2 linked regions of the Rattus norvegicus genome follow. The protein of the gene in region 1 interacts with the protein of each later gene in a pairwise test. Links are inferred from orthologs where the notes say so. Each region holds a gene or a part of one and is shown on either strand. Other genes may lie near its edges. The genes, in order: Nupr1 and Knstrn.

Evidence for each region.
Region 2: the proteins of Nupr1 (region 1) and Knstrn interact in a two-hybrid assay, tested with the Homo sapiens proteins (2 studies listed by BioGRID and IntAct). The link is inferred for Rattus norvegicus from reciprocal best matches to the Homo sapiens genes NUPR1 and KNSTRN.

The regions. Positions count from the first base shown.
Region 1 is NC_086019.1:190,643,284-190,647,480, reverse strand, and holds Nupr1 (nuclear protein 1), read left to right. Parts: upstream 1-1,579; 5' UTR 1,580-1,665; coding exon 1,666-1,777; intron 1,778-2,117; coding exon 2,118-2,248; 3' UTR 2,249-2,261; intron 2,262-3,332; 3' UTR 3,333-3,615; downstream 3,616-4,197. UniProt on the Homo sapiens protein: Transcription regulator that converts stress signals into a program of gene expression that empowers cells with resistance to the stress induced by a change in their microenvironment.
Region 2 is NC_086021.1:126,257,514-126,261,324, forward strand, and holds part of Knstrn (small kinetochore-associated protein), read left to right. Parts: intron 1-1,119; coding exon 1,120-1,246; intron 1,247-2,091; coding exon 2,092-2,139; intron 2,140-3,811. UniProt on the Homo sapiens protein: Essential component of the mitotic spindle required for faithful chromosome segregation and progression into anaphase.

The sequences.
Region 1 (4,197 bases):
TGGGTGTGGTAATGCACACCTTTAAACCCAGCACTCAGTGGGTAGAGGCAGATTGATCTAAACTCAACACTAGACACAAACTCCACAAGAGAACCATCATAGGCTGTTCTACAGAGCAAGTTCTAAGCCAGCCACAGCTCAAAGGTGAGACTCTGACTAAAACAAAGAGGGGGGTCAAAGCACAAACACCTGTTTATTTCATTATGCCCTCCACAGCAATGTATTATTTAGAATGTAAAAGTCACATGCAGTTATCGTGTGTGTGTGTGTGTGTGTGTGTGTGTGTGTGTGTGTGTGTGTGTGTGTGTGTGAATGGGCATGGGAGGGTCAGAGGACACTCTGTGGGAGATTTTTCTCTCCCATACTGTTGGGGTCCTGGAAACCGATGAACTCAGGTTGCCAGGCTTGGCGGCAAGTACTTTACCCATTGAGTCATCTTGCCAGCCCACAGTATTTTATTTTAAATCTCCCCCCCCCCCTTTGGTCACAGCAAAAACACTGTGTGGCTGTGTGGGAAACCATGGAAAATTATGACTAATCCTTATACCATTCCCAGCTGCTGTGAAGGCTTTTCCAGGCCTCATGTCCCTGCAGCCTCTCACAATGGAGGTAGATGGGGTTATCCTCTGTTAAAGGGGAAAACTGAAGCAACTAGAGAGGGAAAGTAACATGACCAAGGTCACACAGGAGACACTGGATCTGAGCTGATTTGTAATTCCAGCGTTTAGTATGATGAGGCAGGAGAATTGCAAGTTCAAGGGCTAACCTGGGCTCCATAGAAGGCCTCTGTCAGAAAGCAGGGCAGAGGGAGGTGGATCAGGAATCAGAGTGTGGAATCCAGAGTATTTGCTGTCTCTACCAGATAGCTATCCTCCACCTTGGATGAGGAGGAAGTCCCTGGGAACTCTATTGAAGTAAAGTGAGGGGACTTTCCTTAAAAATAGAAGCCTTGGTTGTGACAGGAACTGCTGACTTAGCGAGAAGTGGGTCAGTGTCTCTCCTCCCTCCCTTTTCAGTGGGTATGCTGCCACTAACTCCTGAGTCTGAACCAGACTACAATGTACAATGTACTCTGTGTGTGTGTATGTGTGTGTATGTATGTGTGTGTGTATGTGTGTGTATGTATGTGTGTGTGTATGTGTGTGTATGTGTGTGTATGTGTGTGTATGTGTGTGTATGTGTAAGTGTGTGTGTGTATATGTGTGTATGTGTGTATGTGTGTATGTGTGTGTATGTGTGTGTATGTGTGTGTGTATGTGTGTGTGTATGTGTGTGTGTGTGTGTGTGTGTGTGTGTGTGTGTGTGTGTGTGTGTGTTCTGCGGCCCTCTGCTCTCTCTGGCCAACATCCCAAAGACTGTTTGTACCCAGATCCTGTCTGCTTCCTCCTCCCCCAGAGGCAGGAGCTTTCCACGTGGAAAAACACAGCTGGGCTTGGGTGAGTCCTGTGAGGGAGGAGAAAGGGGAGGGTGCTCCTCTCTGCTCAGGACTGGTGTATATGGACCCAGTTCTGGAAAAAGGCCAGATTGCATCAGACAGGGCTTGGAGGGCGGGAACCAGCCCCATGGTCTAAGGAGGAGACAGCGTTATAAGTAGGGGTGAGGGAACTGGGAGAGGGCAGACATTTGGAAAACAGGCAAGACTTTGGAGAAAGCAGACCAGGTATGATGGCCACTTTGCCACCAACAGCCCACACTTCCCAGCAACCTGTAAACATAGAGGACGAAGATGGGATCCTGGATGAGTATGACCAGTACAGCCTGGCCCAATCTTATGTCGGTAAGGTCTGCATGGCAGCTCCTTGGTCAGCTTCCCCTCTTCTCACCCCCAACCCCATCTTACCTAATCTATTAGCTAATCTATTCCCAACTCCCAAGTACCCCCTTTCTAGTCTCATCTACTGAGTTTGTCTTCCTTAGCCCCAAGAACTCACAAGTGAGTGTCTCTCCTTCTAGACATGAGTAAACAGCTAGGGTAGAGTGCCTCAGATGTACAGGGTGACCATCACATTCTGGCCATCCTGCCCTACCCACCCCTAAGCTCCCAGCTATTTATTTGCCTGTCCCCTGAACCTCACACACCTCCTCTGCCCTGTTTCCTCTAACGCCTGCTCAACCAGTCGGTGGAGGTCGGAAAGGACGTACCAAGAGAGAAGCTGCTGCCAACACCAACCGCCCCAGCCCTGGTGGGCATGAGAGGAAGCTGCTGACCAAGTTCCAGAACTCTGAAAGGAAAAAGGCCTGGCGCTGAGACAGAGCTGGAGGTGAGGAGTCAAGAGCCAGAGAGGCAGTGAGGGAGGCACTTGCAGCCAAGCAGGACAACCTATGCTTGATTGATCTCTGGGATCCGCATAATGAAAGAGGGGAGAGAACAACTGCAAGCTGTGTTCTTGAGGGGGCCCTGCAGATACCCAGGCAGGGAAGTGATAAGAATGAAAACCCCATTCAGATTGACTTCCATCAACTTGGATCAGATTTCAGGGTGTCTGATGCCAGGAGGGTTCATTGTCAGCATATTTAAAACACAGTTCAACTTGGGAAGAGGTTTCTAGGCAACAATCAGTCCAATTCCGGGAGCACAGTAAAGCGTAAGGTGTGACTACTTGGAAGCTCATTTAAAAGTACACGTGACCCTGAGGGTGGGTTCTGTACAGCTGAAGGACCTAGGATCTAGTGTGGTCTCTACCAATAGCATGGAGTTCAGCAGGTAGATGTGACATCTCTCCTAAGAGCGGGGAATGCTCTAGGGAGGGAAGAGTCTGGGATAATCAGTCTGGAGAATTCGAGTGAGGTCTGCCTCTATAGCAAAAGCTGGGGGGAAGTCTGACTCCACACAGAGCAGAAAGGTCACTGGGTTGTTAACAAAAGTCCACTCTCAGATTTCTAGATGGAATGCAAGTATTTGACTTGCCTCCTCCATTGAGGAGACACTCTGTGTGATCGACATTTCTCGTTCTTAGTGTTTCTCTGTGAGTACAAGGACCTCTGTACCCTCGATGTCCTCCGACCTCCACAAAGTAGCACTTGCCCAGGAGAATACACATGTGCCCACATGCATGCAAACACATCAGCAAATCGGTAAATGAAAAAATAGTGCTGTCATCTACATCTAGAACAATGTGAGACCCATACTTGACTGAAGTTCCCTGGCAACCAAAGGGGAGAAAAGTTTCCCAGAGAGCCTTTCCAATGGAGGGGAAATTTGGTTTATGGAAAGGGAGACTGAGGCAGAGAGAGCCAAGTACTTCTCTAAAGTTATAGAAAATACGAGCAGGAAGGTGGGAATTCAAACTCTGATCTCTGTCCCTTTCATCATCTGCTTTCCCTCTCCACAGATGAGGCCAGACCACGGACACCACACCCAGCAATGGATACAGGACCTTGGAGAAATTAGGAGTTGTAAGCAGGACCTAGGCCTGCTTGATTCTTTCCCACCTAAGTGAGGCTCTGGAGAGGGAACACCAAAAAAAGCCCTTCCGGACCCAGCTAAAGGGCAAGTTAGGAGCGAGAAGCAGAGGGTAGATGGGCAGAGCTAAGAAGGCACCCCCAAAAAGAACAGTGGGAAAAACTGGATGCCCTTGGGTGGCAGTAACAATAAACTGTACAACAGTGACAGCATTTGTGTGTGTGTTGTGCTGTCTTTGTTGTGTTTGTGTGTATTGTATCTTGCTGTGTCCATGGTGTATCTCTCTTAGGAGACTATCTGGATGGGAGTTTTCTTACTGTGTAGCTTAGGGGGCTGTGACCAGTTGTCCAGTATTGTTGCCTTACCTAATGTATGCAGATGCTTTGAGGTGCCTGTTTCTATGGTCTCTTCTGGGGAAATTGCGGTTTCTTTGCAATACTGCCCCAGAGACAAACTGGCCAGTCCCTTCCCCATTCTTGAGCACAATGAGGTCCTATTATGTAGAGCTGCTTTTTGAAGAGAATGTTTCTATTAATACTATTTGCAAAATGACAAAAAAACCCCAACAACCTGAGGTTTAAAATATGCAAAGGATTTGTTTTAAGCAACTGAGGGCTCAAATCCAAGCATGGAATGACAGGCTGGCTTCCAGGGCAGGGTGCTTGGTGAACTGAAGAGAAAGTTCTCCTTAAGCAGGGTGGGTTGGTGGGTGCCAGGACCAGAATTCCAGGCGAACGTGGGGCAAATGAAAAGACAATTGGATACAAGTGTAGAGTTGCCTGAGGGCTGAGTTT
Region 2 (3,811 bases), on another chromosome or scaffold:
AATAGGGCAGCCTGACAGGTGCTGTGACGTGTAAATGTTAGACCGTGTGTGGGGATGGGTTACCTGGTCTGGCCCAGGAAGGAGATCAGCAGAAGTGCCAAGTAGGAACCTCTTAATGGAATCAATAAAGGACGAGAATTGTGGAAGGGCGAGAGGCTGGCATGGGGAGAGGAAATAGTTTATATATACAGGGCAGTGAAACAGATGCTGTAGCTGACATGTTCTCTCTATTCCACTTATGGTTGATTCCTGAACTTTGGTCGTATACCTGATATTTCCCATGAAGATGTCTCAGAGTGGTTGGGAAGACATTTTGGTGAAAGTAGGCAGCACTTAAGAGAAAGCAGCTAGATGTTGACTGGGGAGAAAGGATGTGGGAACCTTGAGGGGGCAGTTGCAATTGGGTTCTTCCTCCTGTCTCCAAATTCACACGGCTGTAGCCGGTCAAGTGTGGTGTATCAGTAGTCACACAGAGCTGTCCCTTGCCATGAATTGTGTGTGTCAGTGCACACCTTGTTGCAGGACATTTGATCACATTGTGAACCCCGAGATTGGGAACTGGAAAACCTGTTTCTTGTGGTGTGGCTCAGCCCTAGCACACATTTAACCAAAGAGCTTTCTGTAGACAAGGGTTAAATGAAGTCAGTGACAGGTCAAGAGGCGGGGCAAGCATCCAGTTGACAGTGAACTTCAGAAAGCCCAGGAAAGAGAAAGGAAGGCCTGTGAGTGGAGGGGATTTAAGAGAGCATGGAGAGGGAGCTTTGCCCTCTAGGACATCAGTGGAGTAGGACAGTCAGCTAGGTGCTTTCTCTGTCTCTCTGAACTAGCAGCCTTTCAACTCAGCGCCTGGCTCCTGAGTCCTCATAGGTAAATCAAACGTTGGGGATTTTGTTTTATAAACAACACACTACAAACCCAGCATTTGGAGGCAGAGTCAAGAGTAGTCTCTACATTTTTAGAGCAAATTGGCGTAGAGACTTTCTTTGGACTTTCTAGTCCTATACTAAGATTTGACAGTATGAAAATAAGGGATTGTGGTAACTCAGAGTGAGGCTGTGTGTGGCACAGTGAGGAAGCTGGTGGGTCATGCTGTGGTTTCACGCCTGTTTTCCCTTTCAGATACACAAACTCGAGCTACTTCTAAGCTACCTGTTAAATCCAAAGACGCTGAGATGCTTAGACATCTTCATACGGGAGGCTTAGAGCCTGACGTTACAAAAGTCACCAAACCAAGACGAGAGAACGGGTGAGAGCAGATTGCTGACATTTGGTTATAACACCTCGAGAGAGCCCAAGGGCTTGCCCTGTGTGTGTGTGTGTGTGTGTGTGTGTGTGTGTGTGTGTTTAAGGGCCCTGGTTGACTTTCTAGCAGAGAGGTGGAGGGACAGAGAGAGATACTGATTTTTCTAGAAATTGCTGAACACCAAAAATGTTTAATAGAGACTGAAGAGATGGCTTAGCAGTTCTGAATTTGAGAGTACCTTCTGTTCCTAGCACCAGCACCGTGACTCAAATCCATCTCTAACCTAGTTTCAGGAAACCCAGTGTCTTCTTCTGACCTCTCTTGGTTCCAGGCACACATTTGATGCATATATACATGTAGGAAAGATACCCATCCACATAAAATAATCTGGCCAAACAGTCATAGCCTGAAAGCTGAGGCCGACTGTAAGCCTTATTCACGGGCCTGAGCAGGGTCCAGCCCCCGCATCTAGCATGAACATGTGACTCTAGCAGTGACCCTCTCCCATGTGACTGTGGTTGGCATGAGACAGCCGTAGAATCAGAAGCAGGCTCAGGTCATCAGGTCGTTGGGGGTGAAACCAGCGTGCATGGGCTCAGCAGCATGCATGGGCTCAGCTCTCAGCCCGAGCTGTTTACTGGGATGTGCACTTTGGTTCTTCCCTCAGAAACTCTTAAACCAGGTGTGATAGCGTGCACCTGCCATCCCAGAAGCGAGGAGGCTGAGGCAGGAGGATTAGGATTTCAAACCCTGTCTCAAAACAGCAAAGAAGCCAAGCCCTCATTTGCACCTTCTTTGTAGCACCAAGCACTGTGGTTCTCTGATGAACTTTGATTCTGCTTCCATAGGCAGGGGAAAGCTGCGGAGACTGCCAGCCGGAGGAACATCAGAAGCAGGTGAGCTGGGGACACACACACACACACACACACACACACACACACACACACACACACAACGGGGGACTGAGGGTGGAGGCTTGCAGTTGTGGCTACAGATGGCAGTCACATTAGGCTTGTGTGATGCCTGTTCTGAGTGGAATTTCGGGGATAAGACTCAAGGTGTAGAACCACCATCAGGGGAAGATCAGTGGCACCGTCATCCTGAGCAGTCGTCTTGGCAGGAAACCCAAAAGCTATTTTTAAGACAAGACTTTTGAAGGTTTTACCTGTATATGCGAGCAGGTAAGTGCAGATGCCTGGAGAGAATGGGACCTCCACTGAAGCTGGAATGATAGGCAGTTACGAGCTGCCTGATGTGAGTGCTAGGAACTGAGGTTGCATCCTCTAGAAAAGCAGCGCATGCTCTTCACCACTGAGCCATCTGCAGCCCCCGTGACCGGAAGAGGCTTCTTTGTAGGTGTGTTGGCTTAAGCCTGTAATAGGAGCCTGTAATAGGCTTAGGAAACCGAGGCAGGATTCCCACAAGTGCAGGGCTATCCTAGGCTGCACTCCAGGCCAACTAGGGTTGTGGGGAGTGCTGGCTACTCTTACATCATTACAAGCCAGAGTCACTGGAGAAGAGGGACCCTCAACTCAGAAAATGCCTCCATAAGATTGGGCTGCAGACAAGCCTGTATGGCATTTTTTTAAATTAAAGACTAATGAGGCAGGGCTCAGCCCCTTGTGGGTGAGGCCATCCCAGGACTGGTAGTCCTGAGTTCTACAAGAAAGCAGGCTGAGCAAGCTATGTGTAGCAAGTCAGTAAGCAGCACCCATCCATGGCCTCTGCATCAGCTCCTGCCTCCAGGTTCATTCTCCATGTGGGTTCCTGTCCTGACTTCCTTCAGTGATGGACAGTGTCTTAGTTATGGTTTCACTGCTATGAAGAGACAACATGACCAAGGCAACTTTTTTTTTTTTCTTTTTTCTTTTTTTTGGAGCTGGGGACTGAACCCAGGGCCTTGCGCTTGCTAGGCAAGCGCTCTACCACTGAGCTAAATCCCCAACCCCGACCAAGGCAACTCTTAAAGGGTCAAAATTTAATTGGGGCTGGCGTACAGGTTTAGAGGCCTAGTCTATTATCATCAAGGTGGGTGCTTGGCAGCATCTAGGCAGGCATGGCATTGGAGGAGCTTAAGGAACATAGGAGAAGACTGGCTTCCAGACAGCAAGAGGGTCTTAAAACCCACTCCTCCAGTGACACGCTTCCTTCAACAAGGCCGCATCTCCTAATAGTGCCATTCCCTGGGCCAAGCATATTCAAACCACCTTCCATTCCCTGGCCCCCATAGTCTTGTTCAAACACATGAGTCTATGGGGGCCATACCTAGGCATAGCATAATGCAAAATACATTTAATCCAACTTCAAAAGTCCCCATAGTCTATAGCAGTCTCAGCAATGTTAAAAAAGTCCAAAGTTCAAAGGCTCTTCTGAGATCCATCCAAACACTTAACTCTGATCCCTTATAAAATCAAAATCAAGAAGCAGGTCATATACCTCCAACATCACAGGATGTACATTACCATTCCAAAACGTCCCAGTGACGAAATTCTGAACCAAAGTAAGACCAAAAACCAGCTGGGCAGACTCCCAACTCTGCATCTCCATGTCTGATGTAAAAGTGGTCTT